Linked DNA regions of Tribolium castaneum. The protein of the gene in region 1 interacts with the protein of each later gene in a pairwise test. Links are inferred from orthologs where the notes say so. Each region holds a gene or a part of one and is shown in the gene's direction. Other genes may lie near its edges.

The links.
Region 2: the proteins of IP3K2 (region 1) and Kv channel-interacting protein 1 interact in a two-hybrid assay, tested with the Drosophila melanogaster proteins (2 studies listed by BioGRID). The link is inferred for Tribolium castaneum from reciprocal best matches to the Drosophila melanogaster genes IP3K2 and CG5890.

Annotation. Positions count from the first base shown.
Region 1 is NC_087402.1:3,992,166-3,998,473, reverse strand, and holds the start of IP3K2 (inositol-trisphosphate 3-kinase A), read left to right. Parts: upstream 1-2,653; 5' UTR 2,654-2,789; coding exon 2,790-2,800; intron 2,801-5,538; exon of another isoform or gene 5,539-5,567; coding exon of another isoform or gene 5,568-5,575; intron 5,576-6,045; coding exon 6,046-6,308. Other genes in the region: serine/threonine-protein kinase PAK mbt, read right to left, coding at 349-1,122.
Region 2 is NC_087397.1:4,402,747-4,408,957, forward strand, and holds the start of Kv channel-interacting protein 1, read left to right. Parts: upstream 1-1,830; 5' UTR 1,831-2,133; coding exon 2,134-2,289; intron 2,290-6,211.

The DNA of each region.
Region 1 (6,308 bases):
GCTTAAAATAGGTTGAAATGCTCCTAATTCATAATTGGTAATTATACCTAATTCAGAGGTAGGTATTTTTGTTTTTTCGTTTTTTTTTTTGGCTTAAGAATCAGTCGCTAAGTAGATAATAGAGAAATAAGTTGGTACACAGTTGTTATTCTATTTTATTTTTTTAAGGCTTCAGTAGATTTTTTTTAACGTTTAAAGAAAACAGTTAGTTTTGACGAAAGTTCTTGATATAAGTGATTGATATAACTGACTAAATATAGTCAGACCACAAAAATAAGTTTTAACCCTCATGCCCAAACGTGTGATCAATTTCCCCTTAGCAACCCCAGTCTGAACAATCGACCAAACCTGTTCGTGTGTCAGCCTTTGTTCGTGATGCTTCGTCGCAGTCTGTGCCACCGCCGCCCCCGGCACCTGCCCCATCTGCCCCCCATTCTTCAAATTCTGATTTTGATCGTGCCTGACCCCGTACCCCGCCTGTTGCAAACTCTGATGCGATCCGTGACTCGAATGCGAGTGCGCCCCCAATTGCGACAGCCCCGCTGAGGCCATGGATCCGGCTGGAGACACTTGCGGGTGCTCCCTGATCAGCCCCCCGTAGGCCTCCTGATTCCCATTCAAATGGTGGGGCATCTCGTGGTTGCTCAAAGAGCGCTCCGCAGGCGAGCTTTCCCTCACTTGGGGCTTGCTCATGCTGGGGTCCCTCCTCATGGAGGTGTACTGTAGTATCTGCTCCTCGGGCACTGCCGGGGGCACGTTGGTGTTCCTGTGGCGCAGTCTCGGGGGGCTGGAGGAGCGCAGCGAGTTGCTGCGTGCGACGTTGGAGGTTTTGGGGAGGAGAATGCCGTTGGGGGGGTTTTTGCCAAGGCGGCTGTCGGAGCGGTGGTCCCCTCTGACGATGGTTTTGAGGTCTAGGATTTCCGTGGGGGTTATTTCGGAGGGGTCCACGAGGGGCAGGGGCCGATTTGTTGATTTGAGGATTTGGTTGTTACCCACAATCGAGGCCCACTGCAGTGGCAGCCCCACATAGCGCCCCTCGCGTTTGTCAAACCCGGTGTGGACTCGATGCTCGAAGTTTGTTGGGGGCGAAATTTGCGGTTTCTTCTTCTTTTTCGAAAACATTTCGGTCTGAGACGGAATCACAAGTAGGTTGCTACGCCCCTTTACACCGTTTTTTACGACCAACGGTAACAGTGTCAACACACATAACCTGAACTCGATTGTTTATTTGATACGTCACGAGACATTTTCACACTTTTTTAGTATAGTAACTAGAGGGAAGGCACTAGTTTTTGATTATTTGTTGATTTTAAGTGAAATTAAAGACGAAAAACTGAGGAAATTAAGAAAACATGACACCAAAACACTCAACTTCGACGATTTAAGCGATTCGAGCGCCACTAACCGGTGACTTTCACAAGCGTGATGGAATTTCTTAGGGTGGGTTCACACGAATTTTCAAGAAGTTGAGTTGCGTAACGCAATATAAATCACACGAAATGTATAATTAAAGTGAGATTTGACTTAAGTAAATTCGATTATGGCCAATGATCGGGAGATAATTTATGGTAAATTATTTAATAAAACAATTCACAGTTATTAAAAATCGAGCAAGAGGAAATTGTTTAATGATTAGGTTCATTCATGCATTAAGTTGCATTAATTTTTAACTAATTAATTTTAATGACAATGATAAGTTCTCGTGTTGATATAAATTCAATCATGTAAAAATCAAGGATAGTTTGATAAAAATTGAGAACGGCGGAATTGTGAAAATTTTGAGATACGCCAACTCGATTTTTTTCTTTAATTTATGCTTCGTTAAATATTAATTTTCTGGTGAACACAATTAAGCTTTTTCTTATTATTGTCCCAGATATGCTCAAAGCGAGGCAATTGACGTCACTCTGACGCACCATTTTTTTAATTTTGGACCATCAGACCAAATCAGAACCAGATAAAAAGACATAAATTTTATTAAAAGCCAACACGAAATAAGTATCGAAATTACTGGTCGTTAAACGATAAACCCAATAAAACTGTAGTAAATAAAAATGAATAAACGAAAAGATAAGTACTGCATTAATGAAATGTATTATTTTATCGTTTTAAGGTCAAAAATCGATAATGTAAAAAAAAACATTGGTCACGTGTCCCACGGGCGGGCGGGAAATATGAATTAATTAAAGTTTCGTCTATTGTTTGGTATTAATTGAAACCGATTGTTTATTTTTTGTTAGTCAATAACCTTCCAACGGACGTCACTAATGCAATAAAATAAACAAATCATTTTATCAGTCTATAAATAAATTGGAATCGCACTTGCGGCATGTTAATCAATTGTTTGTGTTAACCTTTGCCATATTACTCAAAAAAGTTCCGATATAATTGTCAAAAGTCACTGAGAAATAATAGAAAATTTCCTCTGTGGCACGCTGTGACGTCAAATGGTTCTTCTAAGTCCCTTGTTTACTGTGTGTCATTATCTCTATTACAACGCTTTAATATTAGATATGTAATAAAAATAATAAAATAAACAGACCTTAAGTAAAACATGTGCGTAATTAATATTTATTCGGATAGGGCAATCGAGTTCAGCTTAAATTTAAGTAGCGCATGCGCGTCTTAAAAATGTGACAGCCCAATATTTTCTTTACTCTTTTAATCCATTAGCATTAGTTGACGGCCGGTGTCGGTGTCGAACGTTCTGTGAAAGTCTGTGCGATCTGTTCGAATCCACGTGACCGTCGTCTGGAACCACCCTCCCCTACAATGTCCCCGCGTCGAAAATGACCCAAAGGTACTAAAGGGATCCGAATCGTACTCCTCTGATCCATTTTTTTCTTCGTTCTTCAACTCGGGATAAACAGTTCGAAGGTCGCTGCTTACCTGCGAAATGCTATATTTTATACGAACGTAATTGCATTCCAAATACAGAAATAAATTAAGTGACTCCTATTAGGTCATCATTGTACGTGAATGTACCGGATATTGTTGATAATGTGTCGTTTGGGGCTATTTATATCGCGGTGGATAAATTGCCACCCGCGAGGAGAGGTACTCCAAGGCGCAAAAAGGACCACACGTGCTGTGGGAGGCACAAAAATTAAGCACGTGGGCAGCAAGATGGTCCCTTTAGTTTTCAACTCTTTTTCTAATTTTGAAATCTATCAACACCTTAAATGGAACCCCTTTATTTTACTTGCTTTTATCTATTATTTTTAGTTCAAGAAGTACTCCACACAACTACTTCAGCATTAATAAAAAAGGCTGTACTGTTTTATTTGATCTCTACAGTTTCAGCGATATTAGGTACTAAACTTATAGTGGCGGTACCATTTTTTAGGTATATGGGCTAATGATTAGTTGATTACTGATTAGAGTTTAATTGATTACGCTGTAGGAGTTTTTTTCTTTAAAGAAGTATTCCTACTCTTTTTGAACTGATGTTCAAAATATGAATTTAAAAAAATACTCAAAAATAGAGCATTTGTGAAAAATCTATTCCGCTTTCATTTAGAAAAAATATATTTCAAAGATCCACTATACCAACGTTCAGAGTAGCTTATTATTAGTTGTTTTATACATTCAAATTTTTTGTAATTTGGAAGTTCATGTTCGAATGCAAAAAAATACCTACAGCTTTTTGGAACTTTCAATCGATTAAAATAGAAAAACACTGCTCAAAACAATTAGTGAATATTTTATACATACTTTTGTTGACATCATTGCGAAATAGAATAATATAAACCTGTTAGATATTGCAAAATACTGTATTAAAACATCACAAAGCAACATGTGTATTTTTTTCTGAAAAAAAAGATTTATAAAAAACAAAACCTCAAATAGGTTTATTTTTTGAGTGAAAAAAAATAAATCCCTTCACTTAAGTAGGTAATTTTCAACCACTTAAATATTTTTAGAAGGGATTTTAGAACAATAAAATGAACATTTTTATGCCAAAATTTACGCCCGGGCACCTTTATGCCCTTACTTTCTTTTAGATTTTCTATAAAAAATTGGGAACTGACCTGGCCAACTTACTTCGAATTAATCAAATTTTATGTAAGTTGGCCATGTGAAGAAGATAGTGAATTTTTGCTAAATGTACCTATGAAAGACGCAATGTTAGTGATTTATTCGCCAAGAAAAATACGAAGCAAACGTTAATGGAATAAAATGTAAAAAAGAAAAGTCACGTTTTCCTTATTTAAAAAAGTATAAGTACCTATAATATTTTTTTAATAACAAAAGTGAATTTTTATTTCATGATCTTCGGTTCCGAATTTATAAAGAACTATTTTCTTCTCACCTACTAGAAGAATACTACAGTAGTTGGTTTTTTATTTATTTATTTTAAATAAACCTTCTTTTGATATTATCGGATGTTATTTTTTTATTTTATTTCTTCAAGTCTTCAGAACTAATCTATTGTTGCTACTACATTCCATTTCCTAAAAAATGTTTTAAGCCCAAAATACAGAAATTTTTTTTCTAGCAGAGTACCTAGTTTTCTTAAGACAATTTAGAACAGTTTTTATTCACTTAATCCCAAATGTCCTCTTACTTTAAAAATAGACTGTTCGTTTCATAATTATTTTTTTTAACTAAAAAATTGCTTTCAATGGGAAGTTCAAGAAGTACTTATTATAGAAGTCAACTTTTTTTTAATATTAATTTTTAAATACAGTTTAACTGCACAATGAATACAGTAGAACTGCTCTACTTACTCAAAATTAGAAAATATTTAATGGAGAAGCGTTTAGTTCAAGAAGTACCCATTGTAATTATTAAAAAATGTTCTCTTTAGGTTTCAGAGTACGAAGCTTACATATTCTCAGAAAAAAGACATGTTCTCTATGGAACATTTATTTTTTTATATTTATATTTTTTTACCAAAAAAAAAACATAATAAAACAAAAACTCAGGGTTGTTCAACTTTATTAACTAAAAATAATGAAGAGTTATCGAGATACAATAATAATTATAGTTTGGTTTATTTCTTTTACGAGTATATTTCCATATTGCTCCAATTAAAAATTCAGTAAAGCCACAATTTCCATTAGTTTCAAGACCTGAGCTTCAAATTTTTTAATCGGATTCGGTTGAAATAACTCCTTCCACGCCGCTAACCACTCGCACAATCAATAAAGTTTTGAACTTGCAAGTTACTATCAACTTAATGTTTACTTCGGAATTTATCAAATTATGCAACAAAGCTGAAGAATCTCGGAACAACGCCCAGAGGTCATCTAATCTCCGTTTTCCTAATTTTGGGCAACACGAAAGAATCACGTGTGGTAGTATCACTTCCCGCTGCGTACCTAATTAAACACCGGCGTGTAATTCTGCATGTTTATGCATAAATGAGTGACTCTTGAACACTCAAATCCAGCAATTTACTCAGATAACATTGTTCTCTCCTCATATATTATGTCTTTATTGCACCTCTCCAGCAAATAGCGTCATTCCGTGGGTCGGTCATACCGTTGTGCATCTTGCCACCAAGTGAGTACTAATTCACTTTTCTTCTTTCAGACCAACCTCCGGATGATTTCGTATTTGTAATGGAGTGGTAAGTGACAAGCCAGTTGCGAAACGTTCTGACGTCAATCCTAAATGACTTAATGTAATTGACCCACGAAGAGCGGCTTAACGGGGGCCCACTTGCTCTTAAATCCGTTCTTCGGTTTTATCGGTGCGCTGCAATATCAACGCCATATATGCCCGAGGTTCGGCCGGATTGAGGCCAATGATAGCCGAGCAAGGCCACCGTAAGGCTCCATTTCACGAGAGAAAGTCAGCAAAAGACTAGTGATAAACCCAGCACGGCAGAGGCGGCTCGTACCGAGAACACCACATCTAAAAAACTGCTTCTTATGAACAACGGTGTTTGAGTTAATTGTCGGACGCCTTTTACACCACTTAATGGCTGTTTTTAAAGTTGCACTACCGACTGCGCCAAATCGGCAAATGTTTAATTATTTGTTGGGCACGAGCCGCCGCTGGCAATAATCACAAAACAAACACGATAAGCCTCTTCAGTTTCAGTAATTTCTGGTCGCGTCGCGTGGAAGAGGCTTCGACGTCCTGGTGGTCCTCCAAGCACCACTTCGAGGACCTCCTGAGCCATGAGATGATGGCCAGCGAAGACTTGCGCGAGGTTCTTCGGCTGAAAGCCGAGCGACACCGCGAGTATTTCAAAAGTTTAGCAGAATGCGATAATGCCGGCGGTGAGGTTGCGGCACCACATGACGAGATGGCACCACCTAGCGCACTCGACGCTGACTTGGACGACGCGACTACAA
Region 2 (6,211 bases), on another chromosome or scaffold:
CTCGATAACTCTAATAGTTTCGCCGTAATTGGCGATTGAAAATTGAAAAAAAGTGAAAATGGAAACCTTTTCTTGCGTTTTTCTCGAAAACTATAAGACTTAGAGCAACGAACAAAAATTCATCTGATAGCGCTTAAATTTATCTATTTTTTCGTCTAGACCCGGAGCCGCTCCGGGCAACGGTTCCGGCTACAGAGGCGATCAAATTTTTCACTAAAAAAATTTATAAAAAAAAAACTAAAAGTCGTGGAGCATTGCGGTTTGTTCCATTGAATTCTACGGCTCATTTTACATATTATATCAATTTTTCACAAGAATTAAAAATTTAAAATTTTTTGCCTAAATTTAGGGTGGCCATTTGTCATAGTGAAAAATTTTATTTATTAAAAAAATGTATAACTCGAAAACTAAAAGTCGTAGAGCAATGCGGTTTGTTCCATTGAATTCAGCGGCTCATTTTCTGTATTATACCAACTTTTCACGAGATTTAAAATTTTCAATTTTTTTGCTCAAATTTCCTGAGTACATTTCACTTACCCATCAAAGAGGTGAAAAAAAATTTTTTTTTAAACTAACTCCTGAAAATTTTTATGGACTTCTACATGTCTTAACAACCCACTAAAGTTGTTAAAAGTCCACAAAAAGTCCAAATGTTCGATTTTTTTATGTTTGATTTTTTCAATTTTCGTCGCAGTTTTTGTCGGTTTTGGGTACCCGGAACATTTCTTGAGCAATAGTTCCGGAACTATTAGAGATAGCCCCATAAAGTGTACTATCGTTGGAAAGCTTTTTGAATTATCTATTTACATTTTTTTGCGTTTTTCTCGGAAACATTTAATAATATTAATGATGACGTCATAAAAAAATAAAAACAAAATTGATCTGTTCAATTTTTTTTTAAAATAACCTAAATCTAAAATATAAATTTTATGCGTTATTTTAAGCTCATTCTAAACAGAGTAAGTTTAAAGTAACGCCGAAAATTTGTAATTCCTTTAGTATAAAATTTATATTTTTTTTATTTTTCAAAAATATAAAAATGCAAAAACAAGTGATTTAGCATTTTAAGTGATCTTAAATTTTACCTAACTGAATCAGTCGTGGCGTTCAATATGGCGGTGCCATCAAGTCATTACAATTTTTTTTTAATTCAACAATATGATTTGTCTTTTATAATTGATAATGTATTTCCCACACAAAAATTTATTGCCTAATAATATCGAGTTAATTGACTGAATGAAAACAGACAATAAAAGTGTTAAATATAGAGTAACATGGATATAACTAGAAATGAATGACTTTTGGTTTATTATTTTTTCAGATGATGAGTTTGTTAAACATATGTCGCATTTCAATAGCGTATTTGCAATAATACATGTTATTTGGCTGCTGTAAAAATAAACATGTGTTCAGTGTTTATCTTTTTTTAATAAACGATACAAGACACCATGTGTTAGGATTACTTACATTTGTTTAAACATCATAATTTTTTAATGTTATTTTTCTCTAAATATTTGCAATGAATAGTGAGAAGCATTTAAGATTTTTACAGTTTTCTTTATTATGAATCGATTTACTAACAATTTCGTTCTGCTTAATCACTATCACACGTATCGTCAGTTTTGATTCAAAGATAATCCGGCATTTTGGGCATTTTCAATTTTTTTTTCCATTTGACTCAATGTTGAAAGAACTTGTATTTCTTCAATTCCTGGAGCTGTTTCCGCGTCCGCAGTCGCCCTTACATTTGCCTAGTGTGCTTCTGCACGTTTTCCTTCGAAATAATGTCAGGATATCAGGGCGTGCGCAAACAAGGCGCAGTCTGCAGCTCAGATACAGGACCAGTTCTAGTCCGGGCGAATCCGGGAAATGCCTACCACGAATCCGGTGGCTCCGTAACCGTTTCCATCGCCACACACAACGTCCACATCCAACACCAATAATTAAGTGATGCGTTAGTTAGATTAATATGTGGTAATAAAGACGCGGAGATCGTCGCTCGATAGCTTAGGCCTCTATTAATAGAGAGATGGACCGGAATAAATGCGAATGCGGCAGATGATAGAATAGTTGGTGCTTGCAAGAGAATGCTAACATGTGTCTTCCACAAGCCCACGACGAATAAAGGAAGACATGGCAACGCCGTCAGACAGCCCTATCGAGGAGGTCGTGTTCGAGATAGAGCCGTCCAGGGTGCCCAAGCCCGTGCCTGTTGCCCTAGAGGACCTCTGCAGGCTCACCAAGTTCACACGACAGGAAATTAGAATCATGTATCGAGGATTCAAAACGGTCAGTCTCTCACTATTATGAAATCAGCTCCAGATATTTACCCAACGTTGTTAATTTACTAACTGTGCGCTCGGGTGTTATTTAAATAATTAAAATCATCCTGCATGGGGAATACATTTTATCACACATTTCGACGAATAAACAAGCGTATTATTTTTGAGTGCACACAAACGAGGACAGGCACGTGTTATTTCTGTCAGGTATAAATATTGTTTCTAAAAGAATACTTTACGTTCTTTTTGTTGTCAAAGCAACATAAATCATCCTTAAACCCGGTTTGCGAAAGCAACCAAAAATAAACCACAACACGAGCGAAACTTTTAAAATTTAATTCAGGCACTTATCGAAGGGAAAAATGTCTTCTCGTTCATTAATATGCATCACAGCCAAAACGTTTTACCCTCCTGTTTCATAAAAAATGCAAGACGGACATGGCAGCTGCTATTTCCGATTTTTACGTCCAAATTCGGATTAATTAATTTTGCTAGTTGGAAAACTATGTAAATTTTCATCCGACAAGATAAATAAAATTAATGGCATTGTTATAGAGCGTTCCTTGGGTTTATTGCTCTACTTTAATTTCTTTGTAGAAAGCCGCAAAGAAGAGCGAACAATTAGATCGGTGGCTGGAACACTAGACTACTTTTTTGTTTTATCTTCGCCGGTACAACTTGTCAAGCGGTGTCGTAAAAACTTTCAGAGGAAGCGAAATTAATTAAAATAAATTCCATAAGAGTGAGGCTTTAGAAAGATTAAGTTAATTGTTGACCATTGAAAAAACGCGCTGGGCTAACATTATCGTTTGAATCTTTCGCAGCTTGGGAAGCAAAAAATTCAACGGCTTTTAATTAGCATTTTAATTAATGGCTACGGTCGCAAATGTGGTGTGGTCAATATCAAAACTAACGGCATTGCTGAAACATTTGCACTTTAATAATAAATTACGCTTATTTTAGATTTATTAGTGTTATCGCACAACCCTGCTTAAATTTTCATGACTGGAAAACCGGATATAGCCAATCTCTGCTTTTAGTTTTTCCATCCGGTATTATGCCAATGAACTCACGTATACCCCATCTACTTTTATATTCAAGATCAAAACATTGCTGTTAATTTTATACAGACATGTATTTATGGCTGTTTTGTGGATCACGATGCTTTATTTTAAACACAACACATTGTACCACATTTTCTCATCCAATAAAAAGACCCATTGGATTATTAAATCTTATTAAAAAATTAAAATGATGCTAACAGAATTAGACAATATCAATTTTTACGTGAACATTAGTATTAACTAATACATTTATTTGTTGATTATTACTAAGGTAATAAGTAGAAAAGTAGATACGCATTTACCAGCAAAAGGCTGTTCAAAACCAGGGATTTAATGTTCCAATTACAAAATTGTAAATTGCCGTAGTTTCAATTAAAAATTCTCTGTTATCCGGAAAAGTGTTTAAGCGTTGGTAATAGCTTTTTACGTCACTTCATTTGCGAGGTCATTATTTAAAAACGAATGAACGCCACAAACCCATCTTTCCCCTTCATTAATTTCTTTTACAAACAATTTAATTTGATAGGTATTTTTTGCACATAAAACTTAAATTACGCTCTGGTACATTTAAACGAAATGGCTTAACATAAATCAAAAAAATTCAACTTTCAATTGTATCTCGTCGGAAGACTTACGTTTCATAATGCAAGTAAACAAGTTGAAACTTTCAAACTTTAGTAATCCCAGAGATAAGACTTTATTCCCGTTTGACCCAATTGCCATTGGATAAGATCGTACGCGAGACGGTGTACAGGATTGTTACATTTCCATAATCCCCCAAATGATTTGCAAGTTAGCTGAGCTCCTCCTATGAACATGCTCATATTGGTCTTTACATGGTTTGCCACAAAAGCTGTGAATTTTATAGGGCAAGGCCTTGACTAAACAGAACACATTCATTGGTATATATGCTTAGATTTTTGTGGATCTTTGAATTCTGCCACATTTTTAGCACATTTACGTTGTTGTGCCTCTGTGTCATTACTAAAATTAGCAAATTAATTTTACATGTACCACACCTCGTAATTTTCATACATTTCCTACATTATTACCACTGGAACATATCGCGCATTTTCAGCCGCTCCGAAAATAAACAGCAAACGGCATTAACGGTCATATTTTAGTAAAGTGGATCTATTTAAGACTTTTCTTTAAACATATCGTGTGATTTAATGTCATGCTGTCCCAAACCGCAACAAATTTTTAATACACATCATTTGAAGTCTTTGATTTCCGAAAATATGTGAATACTTGGCGTTTAACTATGTTTTCAAAGCGAAACTTAATGATTTGGAACTCGATCCGAAAATGTTCTGTATGCACTTTTCACAAAAGATGTCGTCTGGTGTATTCTAAGATTTTTCCAATTTTTTATCGAAAAACTTAAGTGGCCTATAGCGCGTATTGGCAGCAGTTGCTTTTATTTGCGGGGTCAGTTTGAAAGCAGCGCCTTTATTGGTGTTTACTGCCACCAAATCCCAATATCCTGTTGATGGCGTGCCCGTAAAGTTGAGCTAACTGCGACCTGCTGTAAACGTCTTCGATGTGCTCTCTGCTCCGGAACTCCCTTAATAGATTTTACTACGTACCCCGCCTTACTTTATTAGATTACGGCAAATCTCACGGACAGACGTTAATGCTGATTACTTAATTTCCATTGATTAAGCTGGAACGAATTGCCGGTGAATGCAAAATTCCTCAGACCTTCGCATTCAGCGACACTACCTGCGCCTTCCGGACAATCACATCATGTCGTGACTGCGGAGAATTAAACTCAAAAATTTACTCCCCAACAAAATGTTGATGGCAACAATGGGAACGAACCTTGCGTGCTTTTAATGCCTCTCTGTTCAGTTAAAAATAATTAATTATTTCTCCTGGTTGGAGTATTTTACACCTTGAAATAAAGTGAAGATGTCCAATGCAGGGCGCGAAATAAATGGAGGGATTTGTGGGATTTTTTCTTTTAAGATCGTGTATCAAAAATGTTCCACAACTGCAAACTTGGAAAGGGTGTTTTGTCTTGAACTAGCCGCACCTGGAGTGGTTTATGGGCGCACTTAATTGAAGTTTCTCGATTCGGAATTGGAACGAACAACAATTTTCTGCTTAATTTAAATCTGGGTCATTGAATAAAAGATTAATCTATAAGAGAAATGGACAAGACGCTGCCAAAAACAGGAAGTATATTGCAAGTGATCACGGTTCCAAGCTGGCAGGAATTTTTCTACCTACATGTTCTTGTTTCAAGACGCATCTATTTAACACGTCGTTTCATTGACACCGGAATGTTTGAGTAATACTTCCGATTTCTAAGCGCTCCAGAATTAGACTCGATCCAATAATAAACTTGCGAAGACTCTAATTGTGAAGCGAACTCATTAAGATGACAAAATTGAGGACGTTTGGCCAACTATTAATTAAGCAAACGCTTTGCTAAAACACTTTTCTTGTAACGAGTCTATAATACGGATATCTAATTAAGGCTTCGTCTTCATTTAATTCCATTTAAAATCAAATTACGTCCTTAAATTTATTGTCTATCAATGTCTCGGAATTTTCCAACCAGTCGAATGAGATGTAATTAACTCCCAACGAAATTATTTTAATTTGAAACTGCATATACGTATTAATTACAATTTGAAGTATTTGGCTGTGACGTAAGGGCGGCTCGTAAAAATTTTTATCATTTCGATAAAAGGCTAGCAAGCAAACAAAATTTGCATCCTGTGACCACACACGCTATGAATTTATGAGCAGCGTAGACGTCCTGTCTTGGAAAAATTGTGCCAAAAGCCGAGGACATGGAGCGAATGAGTGCAGCAGCTGCAGAGTCCGTCAAAGACTTTTCGCTGTCTCAACAAT